Linked DNA regions of Caenorhabditis elegans. The protein of the gene in region 1 interacts with the protein of each later gene in a biochemical or structural test. Each region holds a gene or a part of one and is shown in the gene's direction. Other genes may lie near its edges. The genes, in order: pkc-3 and par-3.

The links.
Region 2: of the proteins of pkc-3 (region 1) and par-3, one has a biochemical effect on the other in vitro, tested with the Caenorhabditis elegans proteins (one study listed by BioGRID).

What each region holds. Positions count from the first base shown.
Region 1 is NC_003280.10:5,377,790-5,384,705, forward strand, and holds pkc-3 (Protein kinase C-like 3), read left to right. Parts: upstream 1-2,237; 5' UTR 2,238-2,238; coding exon 2,239-2,304; intron 2,305-2,711; coding exon 2,712-2,970; intron 2,971-3,247; coding exon 3,248-3,332; intron 3,333-3,381; coding exon 3,382-3,508; intron 3,509-3,670; coding exon 3,671-3,847; intron 3,848-4,518; coding exon 4,519-4,770; intron 4,771-4,854; coding exon 4,855-5,213; intron 5,214-5,259; coding exon 5,260-5,602; intron 5,603-5,717; coding exon 5,718-5,843; 3' UTR 5,844-6,380; downstream 6,381-6,916. Other genes in the region: Peroxiredoxin prdx-2, read left to right, coding at 634-651, 1,053-1,428, 1,493-1,704; ccpp-6 (Cytosolic carboxypeptidase 6), read right to left, coding at 6,415-6,587, 6,637-6,758.
Region 2 is NC_003281.10:5,662,240-5,667,305, forward strand, and holds the start of par-3 (PDZ domain-containing protein), read left to right. Parts: upstream 1-1,993; 5' UTR 1,994-2,064; intron 2,065-2,122; 5' UTR 2,123-2,132; coding exon 2,133-2,300; intron 2,301-2,706; coding exon 2,707-2,796; intron 2,797-2,849; coding exon 2,850-2,912; intron 2,913-5,066. UniProt on the Caenorhabditis elegans protein: In cooperation with pkc-3, required for establishing cell polarity and regulating spindle orientation in the early embryo. Localization is crucial for recruiting par-6 and pkc-3 to the peripheral apical cortex and restricting par-2 to basolateral surfaces.

The sequences.
Region 1 (6,916 bases):
TGTCGCAACCGCCAAAACTCGCTTCCAGAATTATTCCCTTTTTAGGATTTTCGACGCAACATCTCCAACCGGTTAGTTTTTTCGCAGATTTTCTCGCATTCGCGTAGTTTCACTTGTTTACTTCGTGGCGCCTCGTTTTTTTCCGCTCTCTCGTCTGACCACCTTCATATTTATTGATCTGCGCCTAGCGGCGCCCGTTGAAATACTCCACATTTTTTTGCAATCTTGTCTGCGAGTTCAGGTTATTTTCGACTTTTATGAAAGCTTGCTAGGAAGCCATAGCAACCGGGGAAGAATACGCTAGCCAAATGAGAGATAGAATCGATCAGCTAAATTTAAGATAAATAGTGAATTCGAATTCTAAGACCTGCTCGACCAGCTGAAATTCTAAAACTCTGCGCCAAGATGTATAGACAGGTAATAATATTTGAATTTTCTTTAAAAGTGACCTTGAACCCTAAGATTTTCGCTCCTCCTAAACGTTGTAGTCTGTTACTCCCTGCCGCGACAATTGTCAGCAAAAATCGCGTCACATGATGATGAAAGTTTGTGGCAATGTTATAAAAAGACTGACCTTATTTCGTTTCTTGGAAGATGCAAAGAAATGTTTATTAAAAATTGCAGTGTGAAATCATGTCTCTCGCTCCAAAGGTGCATTTCTTATTTGTTTTTTAAAAATATATTTGGTTACTTAGATATTAATTTAAATCACGGAAAAGTTTAAACCCCTCGATTTCTGTTATTTAACATGATCACTCACTTTTATAACAATTAATTTGGTTTTTCAAAGATGTTCCCAGAATGTTTTATTAGTTCTCATTTCGTCCTCCGATTTTTTTTCTTTCGTCGCTCTCCAATTTTGCCAATGTATTTCATTCCCATTAGATAAGCACCGCCCGTCACCTTATTCTCCTTCTTTTCACATTGCAAACAAATTCGTTGCCGTTGGGTTTCAATATCCTTTTCATTTTTTGTCGTATTGTTGTTCTTGTGATTGTGGTTGTTATTTTATCGCGGTATTATTTTTTTTTGTTAAACTAATTAATTTTTAGATGTCGAAAGCATTCATCGGAAAGCCAGCTCCACAATTCAAGACTCAAGCCGTCGTTGATGGCGAGTTCGTTGATGTTTCGCTCTCTGACTACAAGGGAAAATACGTTGTGCTCTTCTTCTACCCACTTGACTTCACTTTCGTGTGCCCAACCGAGATTATCGCCTTCTCTGACCGTGCTGAGGAGTTCAAGGCTATCAACACCGTTGTGCTCGCCGCTTCCACCGACTCTGTCTTCTCTCACTTGGCATGGATCAACCAGCCACGCAAGCACGGAGGACTCGGAGAGATGAACATTCCAGTTCTCGCTGACACCAACCACCAAATCTCCCGTGATTACGGAGTTCTCAAGGAGGACGAAGGAATTGCTTTCCGTGGTGAGTTATATTCTGAATGGAATCCTTCATATTTTCGTACTTTATTTGAAAAATAAAATTTCAGGACTCTTCATCATCGACCCATCACAAAACCTCCGTCAAATCACCATCAATGATCTTCCAGTCGGACGCTCTGTTGATGAGACTCTTCGTCTTGTTCAGGCCTTCCAGTTCGTCGAGAAGCACGGAGAGGTTTGCCCAGCTGGATGGACTCCAGGATCCGACACCATCAAGCCAGGAGTCAAAGAAAGCCAAGAGTACTTCAAGAAGCACTAAATGTCTTACATCTCTAATTTCCCCCGTATCCCTAGTATTTATCTGAACGGTTTATTTATACTCATTTTTCATTTTGATACTGAAATTCTGAAATTCATGAAATTGCTTGATAACCGTAAAATAAACTCGGTATTCGAATATAACTGTTTCTGTTCAGGAACAAACAATATGTGTCGAGACTCTCTCTCTGTTACTTTTTTGTCACTTTCCTAGACCGCCCGTGTTAGTCGGTGCGCGCGCATCGTCGTCCTGTACAGTGTTTGTGAGGGTCACCTGTGATTATTCATTTCTCTATGCCTCTTCAAAGCTGGGCCGCTCTCACTGACCTGTACACTTGGACAAAATGGGGGTGTTCGATAGAGCGTCAATGCATATATAGCTATAACAGTGTGTGTGTGTGTATGTGCATGTTTATTCATGAGTCATTTTTCCCTTTTTTACTCTAATACTGCCAACTCGTCACTGTTTCAGTTTCGCAGTTTTCGTTCAGAACTCCTTTTTTTGAACCGTTTTTAGTTCAATTTTTATTTCAGAATGTCGTCTCCGACATCATTAGAGGAGGACGGAGATATTAAGCTAAAAACGAGGTTTCAAGGACAGGTGAGATATGAAAAGTGGCTTTTGAAATGCTCAAAAATCGAGAAATACCCTAAAAATGAATTTTTCGTTGCAGTGAGAATGTGTAAATCATTTCGCCGTCAATGCGAAATTTTAGTTTGTCAAAGCTTTAAAAATTCGTAACAGAGAGAAAATTCCAGACAAAAAATAGAAAAAGACCGTGATAACCGAATAAAACTGTAAAAAATTAATTTTTCTGAACTTTTAATGATTTGATTAATAGTGTTTAAAACTTAAAAAGCTCTTTTCCGGCTAAAATTAAAAAAAAACAACCACTGATTTTTTAAAAATTCTGCAAAATTGAAAAATAATTTTTGTTACTGTATAACTTTTTTTTTTTAATCTGAAAAATTCCAGACTCCCAAATTTTAATAAAAATTAAATTCCAGGTAGTAGTACTCTATGCTCGACCACCGCTCATTCTCGATGACTTTTTTGCACTTTTGAAAGATGCTTGTAAACAACACAAAAAACAAGATATTACTGTAAAATGGATTGATGAAGATGGAGATCCAATCTCAATAGACTCACAAATGGAACTTGATGAAGCAGTTCGATGTTTGAATTCTAGTCAAGAAGCCGAGTTGAACATTCACGTTTTTGTTGGAAAACCAGAGCTGCCCGGGCTTCCGTGTCAAGGAGAAGACAGTAAGTATCATGAAGCTATCAGAAAAATTATTTAGAATTTCGAAAAAATGTGCGCCTTCAAAGAATACTGTAAAGCGGAATTTCTATCAATTTTTATAAAAAGATTGAAATGAAACAATTAGAAACACATAAATTTTGGAATTTTGGAAAATAGATCAAACTTCCGCAGTTTGAAACTACAGTAATCTTTAAAGGCACACAATTTCTCGCGTTTAACAAGAAATTTGTCGGAGGAAAAATCGGAAATTTTCGAGTCTGAGAAATGTTTTTTTTCCAGAAACTGTATATCGAAGAGGTGCTCGACGATGGAAGAAAATTTATCTGTACAATGGGCATCGATTCCAAGCGAAACGGCTGAATCGGTAGGTTTTTTTTTCTGATTTACAGCCTCCGGAGCTTCTTTCTTTTCAGCCGTATTCAATGCTTTATTTGTCATGACTACATATGGGGAATTGGACGGCAAGGCTTTCGATGTGTGGATTGTCGTTTATGCGTGCACAAAAAATGCCATCGGCATGTGCGAACGCATTGTGGTCAGGTAATTCTTTTTTTTTGTAGCGAGGATAGCTTCTAAATTATTCCAAAATTTTGAAACTAAGACCTCCCAGACTTCTGTTTTTCAATTTTTACAAATTTCTGTGCAAAACAGGTTTAAAGCTTAAATTTTTAAATTCCTCATAAAAATCTAAATCATTTTCAGGCTCTCCAAGGCCCGAATATTATCCCAATGGCTCCTGCAAGTGGTTCTCTAAAGGGTGCTCGATCGAATACAAGCTCATCTACAACGCGGTCGGGTGGAGGAATTGATAACGGAGCATTCCACGAGCACGAAATCGAATCACCCGGATCCACGAGTCATGATGCTAGCAGAGCTATGGTAAGCTTTTGAAGTTGGAGCCAAAATTTGAAATAAAATATATTTGAAATTTGATATAAATATCTTTGTCTTCACGTCTCCGAGGGATCGTAATAAATTTAATTTAATATTCAGAAAAGTTAATTTTTTTTGAAATTTATTAGTTTATTTCCAAAAAAACATAACTTTTATTTAAATAAAACCATCTGAAAAGTCTCAGATTTACAATAGCTGAAAATGAAATAACTCTTGTTAAAAAAAACAATTTAAATTGGAAAGTCTTTGAAATAGTGGTAGTTAATTGAAATATTTAATTAAGTTTAATCCAAAGTTCAATTAAATATTAGGTTCTTCCTGTTGCAATTTCAATTTCAAATTTCTAGATACGTGATATATGTAACTCTTGAAAAACATTCTAGATTTCTAGACTCAACTACATTTTTTTGTTTTTTTTTGGATGAACAAGTTTTTGTAGTTTCACTCTTTCTCTTGCTCTCAAAATTTTTATTCATTTCCAACCACAATTCCCTTCCTCGCTGCGAATTCTGATTTCTTCCTGATATCAAAATATTTTAATATTTCAACGTATGGCACTTTTCTGTCAGTGCTTCCCAGTATCAGATAAAAAGAAACGGCGAAAAGTATTTTTAAAGTTACATAGATTCAAATACTAAAATTTTTTAATATTTCAGAATGGAAATGGGTCGTCAAAATGGGCAGTTTCTCTGAACGATTTCCGTCTTTTAACAGTTATTGGACGTGGATCTTATGCAAAAGTTGTGCAAGCAGAACATGTTTCAACTCGTCAAATTTACGCGATAAAAATTATCAAAAAGGAGATGTTCAATGAAGATGAAGATATCGATTGGGTACAGACGGAGAAGTCAGTATTCGAAGCAGCGTCAAATTATCCATTCCTTGTTGGATTACATTCTTGCTTCCAGGTTGGTAACTTTCTTTTTCTTCGATTTTTTCAAATCTCAAATTTTCGCATTAAAAATTTTAAACCAAAATTTTGATAATTTCAGACCGAATCCCGCCTGTTCTTTGTCATCGAATTCGTTCCTGGAGGTGATCTGATGTTCCACATGCAACAGCAACGGAAGCTTCCAGAAGAGCACGCTCGATTCTATTCGGGTGAAATAATTCTTGCTCTTCATTTCCTTCATTCTCGCGGAATCATTTATCGTGATCTCAAATTGGACAATGTTCTGATTGACGCTGAAGGACACATAAAACTGACAGATTATGGAATGTGTAAAGAGAATATTAAGGATGGAGATTTAACTTCAACTTTCTGTGGAACACCCAATTATATTGCACCAGAAATATTGAGAGGTGATGAATATGGATTCAGTGTTGATTGGTGGGCATTGGGAGTGTTAATGTAAGCCTTTTTTGGTTGAACATTTATTTTATTTAAATCGTTTTAGGTTTGAAATGATGGCTGGTCGATCTCCATTCGATATTGTTGGAATGCAGAATTCCGAGGAAAATACAGAAGATTATCTTTTCCAAATCATTCTTGAACGACAGATTCGAATCCCTAGATCACTTTCTGTACGGGCTTCTGGTATTCTAAAGGGATTCCTGAACAAGGATCCAACAGAACGTCTGGGATGTAAGCTTGACATTAATGAAGGTCTTCGTGATATGAAAGAACATCAATTCTTCCGTGGATTCATTGATTGGGAAGCTTTGGAACAGAAGGCTGTCGCACCTCCATATCATCCAGCTGTGGAAAGTGATCGCGATTTGACACACTTTGATCATCAGGTAATTTTAATTTCTTCAGAACTTAACTTTAAAAAAAAATTAGTTTTTGTTTACTAATAAATTATTGAATCAAAATATTTTAAAACTAATTCAAAATGCTTGTTTTTTTTTTCAGTTCACCGACGAACTTCCACAATTATCACCTGACAATCCAGATGTTATTGCACGAATTGATCAATCAGAATTTGATGGATTTGAATACGTGAATCCTCTACAAATGAGTCGGGAAGATTCAGTCTGATTCCCCCACCATCCCCCGAGTCCCAAATATTTATTTTCTTCGGTATACTTTTTTGTGATTTTTATTATTATTCTCGAATCCCATCTCCTTCGCCCACTGTCTTATACGATACTATGACACACTAACTCGTGGCATAATCAGTATCCTAACTTATTTTCTTTTTCTCAACATCTGTTATACATTTTCTCGCAACAATCACTTCTACTCGTCTTGTGGTATCTTACAATCCCGAAAAGGTTGTGATTTTTTTTGGTTTCTGTTAAAATCTAGACTATTCATACTTGCTAGGAATACCTAATGCTTGATGACCTCCCCTTCTAAATACACCTTCTTGTTACTTTTCTTGTCAGCTCATTCATTTCCCTGAAATATATGTAAAATTGCGGCGAAGACTACGATCAATGTAGTCTCTTCGCCATCTGACACTTCTTTTGTGCCACGTGTGGAACTCGATTTAACTTCAATTCAATTTACATGTTCTTCCATTTGACCACTTCCCTTACTTATTTATTGACAAACAAAAAAAAATTGCATTTCAATGGTCTTTATCAGTTCTAATGTGGGCGCCAATTCATTTCATCATCACAGTCTGAATCACCTTCCTCGCTTGCTTTTTCAAAGTTTTCTGGGCGCGGGCGGGTAGAAAAGTCTTAAAGGGACGTTCGAGCACAATCTCTCGTAGTCCACAGTCGGCTTCATAGAAGTTGAGAAGTGCTCTGCAAAATGCCTCGCCGAGAGCTTCATCTGAAAATTGAACCAAGTTACAGTAGGAAATCACTGAAAAAAAACCTACATTTATATTGAAGATATGGCGTACAATGTTGTATTCCATTTCCAGAAGAGTCTGTATGGCGATAAGAGAAGAATGATACTTCAAGTGTATAGCAAAGGCAGGAAAGTAGATCTCCCATCGTTCTGAAAAGTTATGAAGGGTCCTGACACGACTGGCATTTTTCTGCTACAGTAACCCAGCGTGTTTTTCTCAACTCCGTGTTTCCCAATGTATTCATTTTGAAAATATGCATATATTTTCTAGAAACATCATTATAAAACCACACAAAATATTGAGAAAA
Region 2 (5,066 bases), on another chromosome or scaffold:
CCGTCATCATCATCACCCGCCCGCTAAGGCCCCTTTCACAAATAACGAACGGTTTGGTGTTGTGGCCCATAAAAGTACCGAGCAAGGTCAGTCGGCGAAGAGAGGAGAGACGGTGTTATTCATGCATACCTCTACACAAATAGTGTCTCGGTCAATCGGACCTATGAGTCTCATTGACATTAAGTTGAGGTATGAACGTCGATGGCAATACCTCGCCTGCTCTTTTTTTTTCGATAAAAGGCAATTAAAAATATCTTTCTTGTAGATTTTTAAACTTTCGGAAAAGCAATCGTAGAAAAGTGCAAAAAGTTGATTGTTCAGTTTGAGCTTTTCCATTCAGGCTCTCCGAGCATTTGACAAGCCGCGCGAGCTCCGCTGGTAACTCACTGTTTTTCTAATATCCAATCGCGCACCGCTGCGCCAATCTCTGTTCATTTCGTCGTTTGCCAGCTCAACTAATAGTCGGGACAGCACCCACTTCATATAACTTATTGACACGACTATAATTTGTCATTTTGCTTCTCCAATCCATCTCATGAAATATGTGTGTCGTGGCGTCAAGTTGGCATATGCAATGAGGTGATGGCTCTCTAACTCTTGTGCAATACAGCTGGTGCGCACTGACTCAACCTTCTCTTTTTTGACATTTTACATTAGGAAAATGCCAATCAGAAAGTGTAATGGTACACAATATGTGACCTATAGTCGGTTTTAGTTTATTTTACGCCGAAAATACGGTACCCGGTCTCGACACGACAAACTGTTGTTAAATGCGAAAAGGGTTGCGCCTTTAAGGAGTACTGTAATTTCAAACTTTCGTTGCTCAAGAATTTTCATTGAATTTTCATAGCGTTCCCCACATATATGTATTTAACAAAACATTTTCGTATCGTATTTTTGGAAAAACGCAAAATTCCGCGTCTGATTTTAAATCACAAACCGACAATAAGGTTTTCCGAATCCAAGAAAAATTGAATTTTCCCCAAAAAGTAGAGCAATTTATTTTCAAGTCTTTCCTGTTTTTTTACAAATCCATCCCAGCACAACTCGGTGTTCTTCCAAAAACTCGTCTCCTCCAACATGCTCATTATAATGGATCATCATCTTCTCTAGAGGATCCTCTGTGTGACTTCTCCACTTGACAAATTGCCCAAGTGGAAATAAAATAGGCACATTTGGAAATCCTTGGTGAGCACTGAGAGAGAAAATAGAGTAGAGAGAATCCAAAAATGTAATTGGATAACCACCTTCCTCCCGTTCTGTCTTCCAGAAATGTCCTCCCATTTTCCCAGCAAAGGTTTCATTGTTTGTTTTGATATCAAAAATTCATTTATTATTTAGCTATGCGATGAGCAATGCGATGACTGCGAATTCAGTTTTAAGGCCGCTTTTTCTTAAATAAAATTTAAAAAAATTTGTAGACTTGTGAAATTGAGAAATACAGTAATCATTTTTCGGAACAGATGGGTACGGTACGCATTCGCGGCGAGACCTATCGCATGGCGGGAAATTTTTTTTGAAAATTAAAATCTGCAAAAACTTCAAATTTTTAGATTGTCTATTGATTTATGTGCGATATTTTGAGTTTTTTCTCATTCCGTCAACTAATTCTCGTCCAGAAGATCAATTAAGCTATTCAGATCTTGAAAACACGAAAAAATCCGATTGAAATCGGAAATCGGGCCGATTTTTTTCAGAATATTGTTTTTCGAGCTGAATTTGTCTGCGCAAAAACAAAACTTAAAACGCTGAATTTTTTGTATTACAGATTTGAAAACTCAAGAATAAAATCACTAAAAAGCTAATTTTTGTATCCTTTTAAAATTGGCGCGGGCAATTCGGACAAATTTTTAAGATTTTAATGTTTTCCCGCTAAATTCAAACTTTTTTCCATCGCTGAGCACACTAAATCATTTGCTCTTTCTCTCTTACTGTTACTTACTTCACAGACACACCAATCATTTTCTTATCACTCTAATATATATTTTCTTGCAGATAGAAAAGGTCTCGCAGAGCAAATAGGTGCGAAACGAGAGAGCCTCTCGGGAGGAGAAACGTTGATTGGTTTGTTAAAACTTCTTTTCATTTCATTTAATTTTTCTTTATATCTGCTCATTTTCAGATCGATCATCATGTCGGCTTCATCCACGTCATCATCTAGCACATCGTGTCCGGAAGGTGGCGAACCATCGGGAAGCTGTAAAAGCAGCGACGAGGGTGAATCGACACTGAAAAAACGAATGCAACAGTACGGAATTGCGAGTGGTTACGCGAATTCCTCAATATCTACACTTGATAGAGTGCGGAAGTTTTTTTTTCTTAAAAATTGGAGAAAAAATCTTGAATTATCTTTCATTCACGCTTCAGAAATCTTCAATTCAAACTGTCAACAGTTCTACCCGATTTTTGTTTCAAAAAAATGCTTGAACTGCTGAGAATTCCATTTCTGCAAATTTTCATACTGCAAAAATGCGCATTTTAAAATGATTTTGTAAATTCAAATTTTTAAGTCAAAATCCGAATTTTGTACACATTCTATTTTTGAGTTGGAAAGTTTAAGATCCTTTTCAAATTTGAAATTTCTGGCTTTTTCGATTATAACACCGAAATCTGGAATTATTTTTTACTTTAAAAAATGTGAAATCCATTGAATATTTGAAACCTTGGTTGTAATTTATAATTATAAGCAATATTTTAATTTTTCAGAGCCAATATCAATCGCTTCCACTGAATGGAACTCGCCGAGTCACTGTTCAATTTGGACGAATGAAAATTGTGGTACCATGGAAGGAATCGGTGAGCTTTTTTTTCAAATGTTCAATCAATTTTTTAATATTTTTCTTGTTCAGGATCAGACAGTTGGTCAACTAGCAGACGCAGCACTTCTTCGGTACAAAAAAGCGAGGGGAATGGTAATTTTTTTTCTCCAAAAATTTGCAGAAAAAAGGTCATTTTGGAGGCAAAAAAGCGTATCCCAAATTTTCCCATGAATACAGTCAGTCGGGAATAATGAAAGGAAAATCAACAAGAAGCACGCAATTTTATCTTCGTCTTATTCTCTTCCAATATTATTCCATTCCCGAAGAAGCAGCAGCCCCCTTTCGTTTTCTCGGAGAGGTTAATTCGGCTGAGAACAAGGCCGCACCGATGAGGATGTGTTGAATACCATTTCTCTGTTCATTTTCACCAAATAATCCCCTTCCTTTTCCGCTTTGGAGAAAAAGAAAGTTTGGAAGAGACGCAGACAGTGTTACAGTGTGTTGTTGGCACACAACACTGTAAATAATAGATATTTCTTCATTCTCTCTCATAAGTGACTGTCAAAAAGTTTTACTATTTTGTGGAGTTGAACTGTGGTGCTCTTGGATTTTTATTTAGTTACTCCTGATCTTCTCACTTTAAACATTAAGACTTAGTGGTTATCATCCCAATTTATATTTACTAAGCAGTAAAACATTTATCTTGATTGAATATCCAATGATCGCTTCATTTTCTTGAAAATCTCTACAAATTGAAGGCAATTTTCTCCTCTTGGACCACCAACCATAACTAGCGAATCCTAGCCAAAGAGGGATTAATTTCCAAAATGGATTCTGGTCGAATTTGACTTTAATCGGCGTACGCTGTGCGGCATGGAAATTCCGGAGGCCGTCGCCTCGTCCCGATTGGATTTTGCAATTTGCAATAAACGGATTGATTTCGACGCGCTTGGTAGATTTTTGTTTATATAACATGCATTGGTCTCTCACCATGTTCACTTCATGGCGGATTTTGTACGAATCTCTTCCCCCTCATCATCATCGTCGTCGATCATCATGCTTCCTGTTCGCGCAGGTTGTAGCATTCGTTTCGCAGTAAATTAAGTTTTCCGCTGTAGGCAGGCAGTTGATCTAAATAAATCTGATAAGAATTTATTCGAAGGCTTAAGATTTGTTATCTCTCTCTCTCTCTCTCTCTCAGTTTTGTTGATTTAGATTTATTTGACGTTGAGGACGATATAATCATTATCAGCAGCAACAACCAACTTGAAATTAATCAAATGGAATGTATAGTTGGACGTTGTGTAATAGGAGTACGAGTAGAAAGTGTGAGTCAATTGCAGAAATTAGTGTTTTGTTAGGAAGTTGGGCGCCAGTTTTAAACCCGCCGCCTACACTTTTGATATTACGATGAGCACGGTTCAAAGGCAGGAGTTTTTTTTTCAGCCGTATCAGACTTTATAAATTTTCCATTTACTAATTTGATCCAGTTTTTATGGTCATGTAACATGTAAAGCTGTGTTTAGTCCCAGCCGAAAAGAAAATTGAACAGAACTCAAAGTTTTCGTGTGACTAAAAAAATATGGTGAGTCACCTTGGAATGTTTTTGTTCGGTTTTGAATTTCAATTCAAAAATTGTGAACAACTTTGGCGTTATTCATAATTGTGGAAGTTTTGAATTTCAGTTGAAAAATGAAAATTGTGATGTGAAAACCTTGAATTATTGTTCCTTTCAAACTTATTGTATTTGACTCCAAAGGCCTCCGAATAGCTCCAGAACATGTGAATTGGCAGCACTTAAAGTTGTTCATCTATCTCTATCTCTCTCTCCTCGCCATCATCGTGAAATAAAGCACCCCCTATTCTACATGCAATGTCATAACACTCATATCTCATGTTATCGCCATCCTCCGCTGCCACTACGAATCATCTGTTCTGAAAGCAGCTTTTTTTCGGGTGGTTTTTGTATTTTTCTTTACTGATAAACAGCTTGTGTTGTTGTTGTTCGCGACGAGAACAAATATCATGGACATTTTACCAACTATTGAGAAGATAAGAAGAAATGGTTAGGAATGATGTGTATATAGACATCTTCCCCTTTCTATCTCTCTTCCCTTCTCTTCCGAGTGTTTCTGTTTCTATTTGTCGTTCGATCTGATGATTGTCGTCATTTTTTCTCAGCCGCTCCTCTTCTTGATGCCCTTGCGCAACCCCACCGTGGCTTACTTGTTGGGGGGTCTTGGAGCGAAGAGCACACATAAATGATATGAGTCATTCCGTACAGTCATCCTGTATTCTTCTTGTTCT